Oreochromis niloticus: one gene and its partner. The protein of the gene in region 1 interacts with the protein of each later gene in a pairwise test. Links are inferred from orthologs where the notes say so. Each region holds a gene or a part of one and is shown on either strand. Other genes may lie near its edges.

The links. The genes of interacting proteins can lie anywhere in the genome.
Region 2: the proteins of gadd45ga (region 1) and afap1l1a interact in binary tests that used the Homo sapiens proteins (3 or more experiments, as listed by UniProt). The two-hybrid records come from large-scale screens. The link is inferred for Oreochromis niloticus from reciprocal best matches to the Homo sapiens genes GADD45G and AFAP1L1.

The regions. Positions count from the first base shown.
Region 1 is NC_031977.2:23,400,625-23,407,543, reverse strand, and holds gadd45ga (growth arrest and DNA-damage-inducible, gamma a), read right to left. Parts: upstream 2,102-6,919; 5' UTR 1,994-2,101; coding exon 1,941-1,993; intron 1,822-1,940; coding exon 1,720-1,821; intron 1,597-1,719; coding exon 1,386-1,596; intron 1,243-1,385; coding exon 1,129-1,242; 3' UTR 563-1,128; downstream 1-562. UniProt on the Homo sapiens protein: Involved in the regulation of growth and apoptosis. Mediates activation of stress-responsive MTK1/MEKK4 MAPKKK.
Region 2 is NC_031966.2:30,008,932-30,017,056, forward strand, and holds the start of afap1l1a (actin filament-associated protein 1-like 1), read left to right. Parts: upstream 1-5,114; 5' UTR 5,115-5,278; coding exon 5,279-5,309; intron 5,310-8,125. UniProt on the Homo sapiens protein: May be involved in podosome and invadosome formation.

The sequences.
Region 1 (6,919 bases):
TTTGAATATACTAAACTACAACTAACTTCACTGTCTACTGACGTATTAGTTAGCCACACACACACAGGCTTCAGTTCCAGCCTAAGTAATTGTGCACTGTGCTATAAGGCAGCTGGTTTATCAGCAGTAAAAGGTCAGTGCCTGCAAAAAAGCCCACGTTTCAATCATCATTACGTTATAACTGTTAGCTTCGCTTTTCTTCTTTTACTCTCTCTCTCTCTCTCTCTCTCTGCCACCCAATCATTTGATCTTTACTTTCCTTCCACCCACATTGTGCGATTAGCTTCTTGTGAAGCAGAGTTGTAACCAGTAGCGCCACACTTTCCTGATACCTCTGCATCATTGCAGTCTGCCATGACGTCCCACATTATGTGGCACCCTGGGTGTTAGTTAATGTCTGTGTAGCTAAATGCAAAGGAGAAAATGAGATTTCTGAGAAGATGAGTTTGATTCCAAATGTTTATTCACAAAGCATTTCAAGTCAGTACAATACAAATCAATACTGCATTGCTCTGTCTGCATGTGAAAGAAAACTGAATAGTCCATTAAAAAAAGTGTCAGCTTTACATCAGGATTTGCAAGCAGTTTCTGCTTATTCCAAGAACTTCCTGACAGCTGCACTCATAAAGAAAAGTCCTTTGTTTAGACACTTTCAGACGCCTTCTTCTGGATCTGCACCTGACTTGTTCCCCCTCTGACGAGTCCAGTCCACTTTCTTAAGTCCATCTCTTGCAAAGTATCGCTCTCTGTGACCTTCTCTGCTTAGTCCCACCAGTGTCTGTTAAAGGGCAGTCACTGGGTCACCATTTGCCATCTTTAATGTACTATGCAGTACAGTCCAGCTCCATTCTCAGTGTCCTTCAGGCGTTCTGTCCACTCCACATACACCTGAACAAGTCCACACATGAGCTCTGAACCCTTGCACAGGGTAATCCAGAACCAACGGGCTCACCCAGGATGCACTGGAAGAGTGTGCTCTTGCAGAAGGGGGGAGTTACAGCCACAGCCTCTTAATCCAGACATGTGAGGCAGAAAGGCATGAGGCCCCCCAGCTGAAGCTCAGCTCCTTGACTTTCTTTTCATCATCATCATCATAATCATGTGAAGCAACTGCAGGGGGGTGTCACTTCAGCGCTCTGGGAGAGTGATGGTGGGCACCCAGTCATACACACTGCGCCTTTCCTCACAGAACACACTCAGCTTGTCCAGAGCAGGGTCTTTCCATGGGTTTGCACTAGGGCTCTGTAATTGTTAAAAAAAAGAGGGAGATATTTAGAGTCAGAAAAGTGGCAACACCTACAAGACATGCAAAAAAAAAAGTCAGACACCGTAGTGATGCATGCATGATTCACTAGCTGCCAGCTCCTGACTGAGTGGGAACGTACCGTGACAAGAATGCAGTGTGCGTCCTTGGGCTCGCCTGTTTCATCTGCACCCACGAGGTCGGCCAGGCGGTCGATATCATTGACACGCACCACGTTGATGTCGTTGTCAAAGCAGAACGCCTGGATGAGAGTGAAGTGGATCTGAAGAGCAATGTCACACTCGTATTCCTCGTCGGTGGCGAGAATGCAGAACGCCACGCTGTCTGGGTCACTGTAGGAAAGACAAGAAAGGTGATTAGTGCATATCCTGCTTTGCGTGTGCTCGACTTTTTTTTTCTTTTCTTTTTTTTAAAGGGCAAATGTAACTGAAAGTGGCACGAAATGCAATACTTACACATTCATGACTTTTGCAGATTCGTAAACTCCAACTGTCAGGTAGTCCTGCTTCTTAGCAGCGATCAGCAGCTCCTCCAGGGCTGCGCCTGCACTTTGCACCCTTAACAAAGAAAAATACATCATCAGCACACTGATCACATTACCCTCCCCAAAAATAACAGCTACAGCGCTTTAATCCAGGAGCTTAAATAACGTTGTATCGATGAGTAAAATATTCACCTATCAGCGTTTTCCATTGTGTTCTCTTGTCCGTGAATCTCTTCCAGAGTCATAGTTATAATCCAAGCGCAATCGGGATGTTGCAGTGTTAAGAAAAGGCTGTGTAGCTGTCTGTGTAGTCTCTTGCGTTATTCTGAGCTCTGAACGGTCTGTGGGTGGCTTTATACCGCACTTGGCGTCGTTTCTCGGCAAGGGGCGGTCTTTCCGAGCCTGTCTCCTACCATTGGCTCAGAGGAGCTTATGGTGAGGAAAGCGAAAAAAAGTCCCCGAGCAGTCGAACTGATCTTGTTGACAGCCCCACGTGGGGCAAGATTACAACCTTTCAAGAAATCCCCCCCACCCACTCCCAATTTCTCCTTTTCTTGTCAACATCCAGCATCACCACTAAGGGCAAAAACTACAAGTCCTGTTTACGATGAACTTTCACAGTCATTGCAAACAACACGGTGATATGAAGTTTTTTTGTTTTGTTTTGTTTTGTTTTGAACCACTGTGGCTTCAGTTTGCCCCTGGACAAGCTGACATGTTTATGATAGTCAGAAAACACATAGGTCACAGCGCAGACATTCTAAGAGATTCTCTTTTATTTATTATTATTATCATCGTTTGCAGAGGCGTTATTTACCATTCGATAGCAACATCCCCGGTTTTTGGAATTATGTAACTATTACGCCTCGTGTTTTTCCACAGTGGGCATAGAAGAATTCAGACTATCCTACAGGTGACAACAGAACTGAGTGTGCGGATTAGCCGAGGGAAAATTGGCGGATCTTTTTTCTGTGGGTGAGCCGCATTAAAACAGTAGTGACGATTAATTTGATGTGTGATAAACTCTGGAACAATCCTTTGGCGGACTAGCGGATTTCCCCAGTCTGGAGAGTCACTGGGGAGATATTTATATATATCATCTATCCGAACTTTCCCTGTGCAGCTTTCCATTGCTCTTAATAAACAACCGGTTCCCGGTGCACCTGCTTGGCGCGTCACTGCGGTCAAGTGAGCCCTCACTTACGAAGTCACAGTCAAGCTAGCCGCCCCGCCAGCCGCACCTAAAATGTGGTTGCACTACTCTTACGTATATTACGGTACGGATGAAGCCCGGCTAAGAAACGCAGTCTTTTGTGTCCTGACACTATATTACTTTACAATCCACTCCCAAATTTGGTTCATCTCCACTTTTCACCCCATGATCCACAGCCAAAATTGCTGTACAATTCAGCGAAAATTAACAATAAAATTTAACCAATATACAGTACTGTACTTTTATAGTATCTTCATTTTTGACCTCAGATTACAGGAAAACTGTAAGAGGTGACGCAGATATTTCACTGGATTCTGACTGTGGGTGACCCCCACTCTTCACCCTGTGATCCACAGACAAATTTACTGTACAGTTTTCCTGAAAAGTGATAGTAAACTTTACCCAAATTACTCTACTGTACTCTATATATTCCCATCTTTCACCTCAGATTACAGGAAAACTGTAAGAGGTGACGCAGATATTTCACTGGATTCTGACTCTAGGCCATCTCCACTCTTCACCCTGTGATCCACAGACAAATTTACTGTACGGTTTTCCTGAAAATTGATAGTAAACTTTGCACTATTTACTGTACTGTACTCTATATATTCCCATCTTTGACCTCAGATTACAGGAAACTGTAAGAGGTGACGCAGATATTTCACTGGATTCTGACTCTAGGTGACCCCCATTCTTCACCCTGTCATCCACAGACAAGTTTACTGTACGGTTTTTGAGAAAATTGATAGTAAACTTTGCACATTTTACTCTACTGTACTCTATATATTCAAATCTTTGACCTCAGATTACAGGAAAAGTATAAGAGGTGACACTGATATCTCACTGGATTCTGACTCTAGGCCATCTCCACTCTTCACCCTGTGATCCACAGCCGAATTTACTGTACGGTTTTCCTGAAAATTGATAGTAAACTTTGCACATTTTACTCTACTGTACTCTATATATTCCCATCTTTCACCTCAGATTACAGGAAAACTGTAAGAGGTGACGCAGATATTTCACTGGATTCTGACTCTAGGCCATCTCCACTCTTCACCCTGTGATCCACAGACAAATTTACTGTACGGTTTTCCTGAAAATTGATAGTAAACTTTGCACTATTTACTGTACTGTACTATATATATTCCCATCTTTGACCTCAGATTACAGGAAAACTGTAAGAGGTGACGCAGATATTTCACTGGATTCTGACTCTAGGTGACCCCCATTCTTCACCCTGTCATCCACAGACAAGTTTACTGTACGGTTTTTGAGAAAATTGATAGTAAACTTTGCACATTTTACTCTACTGTACTCTATATATTCAAATCTTTGACCTCAGATTACAGGAAAAGTATAAGAGGTGACACTGATATCTCACTGGATTCTGACTCTAGGCCATCTCCACTCTTCACCCTGTGATCCACAGCCGAATTTACTGTACGGTTTTCCTGAAAATTGATAGTAAACTTTGCACATTTTACTCTACTGTACTCTATATATTCCCATCTTTCACCTCAGATTACAGGAAAACTGTAAGAGGTGACGCAGATATTTCACTGGATTCTGACTCTAGGTCATCTCCACTCTTCACCCTGTGATCCACAGACAAATTTACTGTACGGTTTTCCTGAAAATTGATAGTAAACTTTGCACTATTTACTGTACTGTACTATATATATTCCCATCTTTGACCTCAGATTACAGGAAAACTGTAAGAGGTGACGCAGATATTTCACTGGATTCTGACTCTAGGTGACCCCCACTCTTCACCCTGTCATCCACAGACAAGTTTACTGTACGGTTTTTGAGAAAAGTGATAGTAAACTTTGCACATTTTACTCTACTGTACTCTATATATTCCCATCTTTGACCTCAGATTACAGGAAAACTGTAAGAGGTGACGCAGATATTTCACTGGATTCTGACTCTAGGTGACCCCCACTCTTCACCCTGTCATCCACAGACAAGTTTACTGTACGGTTTTTGAGAAAATTGATAGTAAACTTTGCACATTTTACTCTACTGTACTCTATATATTCAAATCTTTGACCTCAGATTACAGGAAAAGTATAAGAGGTGACACTGATATCTCACTGGATTCTGACTCTAGGCCATCTCCACTCTTCACCCTGTGATCCACAGCCGAATTTACTGTACGGTTTTCCTGAAAATTGATAGTAAACTTTGCACATTTTACTCTACTGTACTCTATATATTCCCATCTTTCACCTCAGATTACAGGAAAACTGTAAGAGGTGACGCAGATATTTCACTGGATTCTGACTCTAGGCCATCTCCACTCTTCACCCTGTGATCCACAGACAAATTTACTGTACGGTTTTCCTGAAAATTGATAGTAAACTTTGCACTATTTACTGTACTGTACTATATATATTCCCATCTTTGACCTCAGATTACAGGAAACTGTAAGAGGTGACGCAGATATTTCACTGGATTCTGACTCTAGGTGACCCCCATTCTTCACCCTGTCATCCACAGACAAGTTTACTGTACGGTTTTTGAGAAAATTGATAGTAAACTTTGCACATTTTACTCTACTGTACTCTATATATTCAAATCTTTGACCTCAGATTACAGGAAAAGTATAAGAGGTGACACTGATATCTCACTGGATTCTGACTCTAGGCCATCTCCACTCTTCACCCTGTGATCCACAGCCGAATTTACTGTACGGTTTTCCTGAAAATTGATAGTAAACTTTGCACATTTTACTCTACTGTACTCTATATATTCCCATCTTTCACCTCAGATTACAGGAAAACTGTAAGAGGTGACGCAGATATTTCACTGGATTCTGACTCTAGGTCATCTCCACTCTTCACCCTGTGATCCACAGACAAATTTACTGTACGGTTTTCCTGAAAATTGATAGTAAACTTTGCACTATTTACTGTACTGTACTATATATATTCCCATCTTTGACCTCAGATTACAGGAAAACTGTAAGAGGTGACGCAGATATTTCACTGGATTCTGACTCTAGGTGACCCCCACTCTTCACCCTGTCATCCACAGACAAGTTTACTGTACGGTTTTTGAGAAAAGTGATAGTAAACTTTGCACATTTTACTCTACTGTACTCTATATATTCCCATCTTTGACCTCAGATTACAGGAAAACTGTAAGAGGTGACGCAGATATTTCACTGGATTCTGACTCTAGGTGACCCCCACTCTTCACCCTGTCATCCACAGACAAGTTTACTGTACGGTTTTTGAGAAAATTGATAGTAAACTTTGCACATTTTACTCTACTGTACTCTATATATTCAAATCTTTGACCTCAGATTACAGGAAAAGTATAAGAGGTGACACTGATATCTCACTGGATTCTGACTCTAGGCCATCTCCACTCTTCACCCTGTGATCCACAGCCGAATTTACTGTACGGTTTTCCTGAAAATTGATAGTAAACTTTGCACATTTTACTCTACTGTACTCTATATATTCCCATCTTTCACCTCAGATTACAGGAAACTGTAAGAGGTGACGCAGATATTTCACTGGATTCTGACTCTAGGCCATCTCCACTCTTCACCCTGTGATCCACAGACAAATTTACTGTACGGTTTTCCTGAAAATTGATAGTAAACTTTGCACTATTTACTGTACTGTACTATATATATTCCCATCTTTGACCTCAGATTACAGGAAACTGTAAGAGGTGACGCAGATATTTCACTGGATTCTGACTCTAGGTGACCCCCATTCTTCACCCTGTCATCCACAGACAAGTTTACTGTACGGTTTTTGAGAAATTGATAGTAAACTTTGCACATTTTACTCTACTGTACTCTATATATTCAAATCTTTGACCTCAGATTACAGGAAAAGTATAAGAGGTGACACTGATATTTCACTGGATTCTGACTCTAGGCCATGTCCACTCTTCATCCTGTCATCTACAGACAAATTTACTGTACGGTTTTTGAGAC
Region 2 (8,125 bases), on another chromosome or scaffold:
GGATGGAAGACATGCTGTGGAAGAGAGACAGAGATTAATAACAGATATGATTCGATGCAGAGAGGTCTATTAGCACATAGTGAGTGAGAAAGGTGACTGGAAGGGAAAAACTCAATGCATCATGGGAATCCCCGGCAGCCTACGTCTATTGCAGCATAACTAAGGGAGGATTCAGGGTCACCTGGTCCAGCCCTAACTATATGCTTTAGCAAAAAGGAAAGTTTTAAGCCTAATCTTGAAAGTAGAGATAGTGTCTGTCTCCCGAATCCAAACTGGAAGTTGGTTCCACAGAAGAGGGGCCTGAAAACTGAAGGCTCTGCCTCCCATTCTACTTTTAAATACTCTAGGAACAACAAGTAAGCCTGCAGTGTGAGAGCGAAGTGCTCTAATAGGGTGATATGGTACTACAAGGTCATTAAGATAAGATGGGGCCTGATTATTTAAGACCTTGTATGTGAGGAGCAGGATTTTGAATTCAATTCTGGATTTAACAGGAAGCCAATGAAGGGAAGCCAAAACAGGAGAAATATGCTCTCTCTTTCTAGTCCCTGTCAGTACTCTTGCTGCAGCATTTTGGATTAACTGAAGGCTTTTCAGCGAGTTTTTAGGACATCCTGATAATAGTGAATTACAGTAGTCCAGCCTGGAAGTAATAAATGCATGAACTAGTTTTTCAGCATCACTCTGAGACAGGATATTTCTAATTTTAGAGATGTTGCGCAAATGGAAGAAAGCAGTCTTACATATTTGTTTAATATGTGCGTTGAAGGACATGTCCTGGTCAAAAATGACTCCAAGGTTCCTCACAGCATTACTGGAGACCAAGGTAATGCCATCCAGAGTAAGAATCTGGTTAGAAGAAGAAGGAAGACAAGAGAAAACGCTCATGGAAGTAATCAAGGGGGACATTCAGAGGCTTGGTGTGAGAGAAGCGGATGCCAAGGATAGGGTTAGATGGAAACCGATGATCTGCTATAGCAGTCTTATAGGAAGAAGCCAAAAGAAGAACTAAAGCTCCCCCAATGATATGCAGTTTGTTTGCTAATTCAAAACCAACACAACAGACTAAATCATGCTAAAATGCTCCACAAAACTTAAGGACACTGCACAGTTGGATGACTACTATGTTCTCCCATGATATAACATTGAATGTTGTTTGTGCAAGAGGCCCCAAGAAGATGTGTGAAAAAGTGCTTGTAAACTGTGCACAGGTGCGCCTGTGTGGTAAACCACACTAAATCATTTTGTTGCCTAAACTTAGCCAACCAGAGTGAGAAAATAAAAGTAACACTGTTGTAGCTCCTAGCAGCTACTGCTAAAGAGCATGAATGGGGCACCCTGATTGGGGACAGGCGCTTCACTGAGTTTCACCGAGTTTCATGTCTCCATCTCGTGCACTATAGCACCATCACTCAGTTGAAGCTAGAGTAACCTTTATACCACCACCTAATGAGGTACTGTTATATTCCCTGTAGCAAGTTAACTTCAAAGCTCATGATATAGGTCAGATATGGGTCACGTTCAGTCTGGAAATAGCATACAACATTATGGCATGTTTAGCAACTGGCCTAAAGCTATGCTCTCTCTTGTTTGATGGTGATGTCTGTTTCACAATCAGCAGTGATACTAACATGAACCCTATTGTATTAAAACTGTACCGTAGATAGAACACCTGGAAATGCACCAGCTTTTCCAATCAAACATAAATAAATAAATACATTTCCATATCTGAATAAAGCCTTGGTGTATGAACTTTGTACTTCTTCTTGAGGTTGTCAAGTTCCATAATGTTCCCACTCAGGGCATTAAGCAACAACTCATTTTTCCTGCCAGTGCTTTTAACATGGTCAGCTCAAGTTGCCATGGTGACTGTGCCAGCTATATTGCTTGGCCCCCTCATTGCTGCCTGCAGCTATATTTCTATTTGTGACTGCAAGCAAGCCATTTTATACACAGTATTTCTGTGAGATGTCAAATATAGCAACTTTATGTACTGTGAAAGTTAAATGAACGTTAAATAAAACAGCATTTCTTGTATATCTCTTCCTCCATCACAAATGACGCAGTAAAAAGTAGCAGAAAGATTGGTACCAGCCATCAAGATGATTTGCGCCATGAACCGGATCTGTCCCTGTGTACCTGTGTGTTCTCCAGAGATATCACTTTGCGAATGCCCAGACACGTTTCTACTGGCAAGAGGAGAGAGGAGCTGTCACTCTTGGGAAATGCCAGGAATTCGAAGGGTAGGGTGGGAGGGAATTTCATCATGATAGGGCACAGCCTGGTGAGAGAAGGCATTGTTGGCACACCTCCTAATGCAATTAAAAACTGGGAGAACATCTGGCTGTCTGGTTTACCTCTTCCTTTGTTACACGGATCTATACAGCACTATACAGTGGTGTGATAAATCCTGTGGTGAACAGTGAGATAAAAGTATCTCCTTTCTGATCTGTGCTTCTTAACATTATGAATCAGCTCTTTTTTTTCAAACATGCCTGCCTCAGCTTTGATGACTGAGTTGGATGGAGGTGTTTAGGTAACACTCACACGGCATGATGATAACACTCAAACACCACTGTCTCTGTACTGAAAACCCTATCATTTGACTCACTTAACATGAGATAAGATTATGCTTTTGCTCACAAAAAATGTGCTTTTCGTCTCCCTCCAAAACTTGCTGGGTTGTATTGTTCAGCCGAGGAAGAAAGACACCTACACAGTGAACCTGCAGTGTGCTTTCATGTCAGATCGGGTGGAGAAATGGTTGTGTATCCAACATCTCCAAAGACAATAAGGAAAGGGGCTCTTCCAAGAATAATCCATCAGTTTTCAGTACATACGGATCTTTTGTGGAGTCACAGAGTCACTTTTTTTTTTCTCAAACTGCTTTGTCTGGCATGACTTACATCTTTATGGTTCTCCTTTGTTTTGCACTGCGGACTTGACCGGTAGTTTTCATTGTAATAAACACTAGGTTTTGTTTATCAATTACTGTGACTATTTCTGCCCCGAAGGCTTTAGCTTTTCAAAAACCTGAGATCCATCGCACCCAGCTGTAAAGTCGTGTGAATTTTACAACTCGGTGTGCTTTCACATCCCTCCTCTAACATCCACAGTTCTGTATGGGGTCAGATATTTACTGTTGAGGTCAAAGTTCAGATTTAGTCACCATCAGAACTCGTTTTCTTTTAGGCCATATCAGGCTTAACAGGATGAGTATGTGAGACTATTTTGGGAAAAGCTGGGAAGCACCATTTACGAGTGAGGAAGGGTCTGGCTTTTTTATCAATAGATTTTAGAAGGAGCTCATTAGTGCGGTGCTTTTCTTCACAAATACAATCCTGTGCAAAAGTCTAATCATTTCTTTATATTTAACTTACAAGAAATCCAGTCCTTTTACCGGACCATTTTTAGAGGAGTAGTTTTTGTTTGAAACACCACTTAACACTGACCTATGACTCATTTAAGCATAAAAAGACACCTAACTCAAGTGATGAACCATTGTTGTCTTTACTTAAAACAAGCAAATAAGCACTTTGTTACTAGCAGCTAATTGCAAACAGATGTAATTTGTTCCAATTCCTTTGGTTCAGTCTATGAAAATGCCAAAGATGTACAGTTTAATATGCAAAAGAAATCCCAATGAACTATCAGCTGAAAACCTGTTGTATGTCAGCATGGTGTGCAGTCTGTACTTAAAAAATCTGAGGAAACTGCACAGGTGGAGGACAAAAAAGAAATGACAGGCCTCAAAACTATCTGCGACAGAGTAACAGTATCTGATTAGCATTTCTGAGACATGCATCTGGCCCTTCAGTTGATCCATCTACTGTTTGCTTGAGCCTCAGCAGAAAAGTCTCAGAATGGTGGCTGTCATAAAATCATTCTTAAGGAAGGAAAACTTGGAGAAAAGCCTGAGGTATGCTAAATTATACAAGAACTGCACTGAAAATCAGAGGCAGCAGGTCTAATGGAGTCCATTCTTCCATTTTCTATCTGCTTATCCAATTCAGCTTATCCTGTTGCGGCTGAGCCTATCCCAGCTGTGCTAGGGTGAGAGGCAGGCTACACCCGGGACAGACACCAGTTTATCACAGGGCTAACACAAAGAGACAGACAAACATTCACACTCACATTCACGCTATGCCCTGTGGTACCTGTGTTTTTGATAAATGGCAGCACCTACATCAAATTATCCTAGCAAATATAACCAAATGAGGGTTATCTCAATACTTTTGCACAGTACTGTATATTTTTATTTAGCTACCAAAAGACAAAAAAACACACATTTTTGTATGAGTTAAATAACTAGTTAACTAGTCTCGATTAGCACAGATGGATCTTAAAACCATTCTCATCTAAGTCTGAACAAAAAAGTGAATGAGCTCCCCAAACAGAATCACAAAGGGGTGATGAGGGGTCACACTAGGATTCCAAACAACAGGTGATCTTATTTCTTGCACGCTTATGCTGTAACCCCAGTCTTCTGACATCATAGTGATACTTGTCCAGTCTTGTGCAAGAGGCTTCTTATAGTAAAAGCCTACACTTAGAAAAGCTAGTGTGTCATATTGTGGTTGTGGTTGTGTATTGAACTGCGTATGCTTCGGGGCTGTTTGTGCCACGTTACTGCCGCTGTGATTGAAGGCAGCATGTTGCATCGTGTTTGGCTGCCTGATTCTGCCTCAAGGCAGCAAATCCTCCACGTGTGACACTGAAAAGGTCTCAACTTGCCCTAATGACTACTCCACAGAATATCCTAAATCCTGCAACTTTTACTTGACATGTTAAAATGCCCCTATAACGTGGGGATTTCCACAGGCAGCTAAACTGGAACCTGTTTAGTGTGTAGCCACTAGTTAAAAGTTAATAATATAAAGAGAGAGGGAAAGAATGCAAAAGAATAAAGAATGAAAAGAAGAAGAGTTAGCTATTAGTGTGTGTGTTTACACAGCAAGCCTTTCCCAGGTGCTATACGATCCCTAGGATTACAGTGGAAGAAGGGGGATCAAACACATGCGCACACACGCAGAGCACCACCCTATACCCTGCCCCCCACTCACACAAAAAAAAAAGAAGCGAGAGGAGGGTAGACGGAGAGGGAGGTGCAGGGAGATAACAGATCCGATGGAGGAGGGGAGAGGTAAAGGGAGTGCGAATTCAGCAGATGGTAGCTCACCTCCACTACAGACTTCAGAGGACAGAGCACAAAGGGTGGCTTTGACTCTGGAGTATCTCCTGCAGTATCTCTTTTGTGTATGAATGAGCCAATTAGAGAATGGTGGGACTGTCATCCACTGCCCGTGAAGGTAAGTGTTTTGAAAAGAAAACAACATGTTGGTATATTAAAGCATCTGATGCTACAGGATTTGGGCATGCTGAGGGAAAGAGAGGTGTGTAAGCTGCGGGGATGTAAAGGTGCTAAAGGCATCGTGCCCTCAATCCGAACACTGTAGGAATCAGGTGATGTTTACTTCATGCCTTGAGGGCCATGCCAGCTCACTGAAATACAGAGAAAGGCAGAAATGTTGAATTGTTGAGAAAGCTGTGTTTGCTAGAGTCGTTAGTGAAACATTGTAATTTCTGAAGCCTCTGAAGACTCTTTGTGGGCTGCAAATTCTTGTTGGATAAGTTGGAATGTCTGCTTACAGTGATGTTGTGAAACAAAGCTGCCGCTGACTGTCTGAATCCTGTCACTTTCGACATACTGTTATATTAAGTTTGTTTACGTGTGTGTGTGTGTGTGTGTGTGCGTGCGTGTGTGTGTGTGTGTGGGGGGGGGGGGGTTGCATGGCAAGAAAAGAAGTCAGTTCAGCATGAGGGAAGTCTTTGGTACTTGGAGGGAGCGGGAGCTGAGAAAAATGGTGCAATCGAATGAGGTCAGATTATTCTTTAATTCCGACGTTGTTGGGCATGTTAGCACAGGTGCTAGACTCACTGAAATTATTCACCCATCATTCAACCTTACAGAGTTGGCACAGAAAGTCTACAAATGTAAGCTCCTTTTAAAGGCTGGAGTCTGCAGTGTTAAACAAATTACCCTCTCCACTTAACAAAGGTCTGCACACACACACACACACACACACACACACACACTGCAGAGTCTTGCACTATGAACAAGGCGAGGAATGTGTCCAGTGTTTAACAGCAATTGTTAAGCAAGTGTGAGGAAACCAAGTGTGTTCTAAGCTTTGACTGACTTTGCAGACCTGCACAATCTTTTTTCTCTGGTGTTTTAAGTCTTCTACTTTATGATTTTTTTTTTAAAGCTGAAAGTACACAAAGCTGAGAATAAAGTTATCCTTTGACCTTCTATGGAGACACATACATTGCTTTAACTATACTGAACCACATTCTCATCTATCACTGTAACATTACGGGAGCTTTTGCGTAATAAGTTAGAAGACATCGGTTACGCATCGCACTCAAACACACGCACGAGCAGTTGCAGCATAAATGCAAAAGATGACTCGCCGCTTTAGACGTGTGACGACACTCGTGCATGGTGTGTTGTTAATTATAAAGGAACAATGGGCGACTTAAGGGTGGTCTCACGAGCCGCAAGTGCCAAAAATGAGGAAGTAATTCCTTCTTGCTCGCCCTTGCACTGTAAACGTGAAATTGGGTAATCGGATTTTTAAGGAGTAAAATTGTGAAACCGTTTTAAGGAGTGAGGCGACCTACTTCACGCTAAATCCTTTGAAAGCATCGCCTCAATTTCTCTGTTGTATTATATGTAATATACTTGATTTAGTGCTGACTGGTGTAAATTTCAACTTCTCTCTGCAGAGAATGAGTCATGCTGTGGATACGGTTTTGTCTTACACTTAGGTTAGGGGAAGCCCAGTGCTACGCTAGAGCCAGAATCTAAACAGCTGGAACCTCTGGCAGAGTGACAGCGTTCACCAGGCCCACACATCCCACTCTCATGAGTTTCCTGTCCTTCCACTTCCTCATTTCTCTGCATGAATCAGATGTTAATGAGGACGCATTCCAGCTCACAGCATGAGTTAAATCCTCATGCCCGTTCCTCCGAGTGGGAGCGGGTGATTGTTACAATGGAAGGAAACCAGGCTGGTGCAGGAGACAAAGTGGTTAAACAGACACAGGCAAAAATACACCTACTGTAGCTGTTGTTGCTTTTGACCATAGCCTTGGCTGGGCATTGTTAAAACCCATAGGAAGACCCACCTAAGAAAAGTATGTCTGTCTTTAAGGAGTGGGAGCACCCTGAAATGTAGGACATACATCACTGACAAACAATAGATATTTTCTCCAGCTTATTTATTTTCTGCTTGTCAGAGGTGATTACATGCAAGTTCGCTGTGTTGGGGTCATACATTGAGACAGCCAACATTCTGCCTCAACTTATTAATGTGCTTTTTAGGCCTGCACACGATGGTGGTTCGAGTGCATTTTCTAGATAAGCAGACAAAAGTTAAGAGTTGACACACCTCGCTAAATGCACAACACATGAGCCTGCCTGTGCGTTTCGGGCTTGTGTGCACGTGTGTATGTGTCTGCCTCTGCCTGTGTTTGTGTGTGTGCTTAGCGCAACAGGTCTTGCTGCCATATGAGCGCACTCTGTACAAAGAGTTTTCTGGCTCAGCGGCTGTCCCGCGGCTGACCCTAGTAAGACGCACGGTTCACTAGGTCCAAGGGGACTGGACTGTGAAAATTGGCTAGGAGGGAGGGGAGAGAGTAAGAGATGGAGGGGAATGGGAAGTAGGGGGAGGCAGACAAGAATGCCAACAGTGACTCAGCCATTTGTTAGGTTTTGTTTTGTTTTGGGGTTTTTTACTGTGGATTTTAGGATTACAGAGGTAATAAACTGGGTGCTAGAATACAGTCAGTGGTTACAAACGAGCTAATGGAAACACCTCGGGTAGCTGAAACAAAAAGCATTGCTTGGTGGCACTGGCTTGCAGCAGGTTGCAAATCTTTTCTCAGGCTTGCAGCAGCTGGGGGGAGTGAGCTAGTTTATTTGAGTTTTGTTCTGAAAAACAGGGAGTGGACCTGTCTTACCTCTCAGATCAACTTATGATGTATGCGATATATCTGTTCCTACAATCTCGAGTCCAGAGGACCCAGAGAGCCCTGTGAAAGCCTGTTTAAGGCAGCTTGT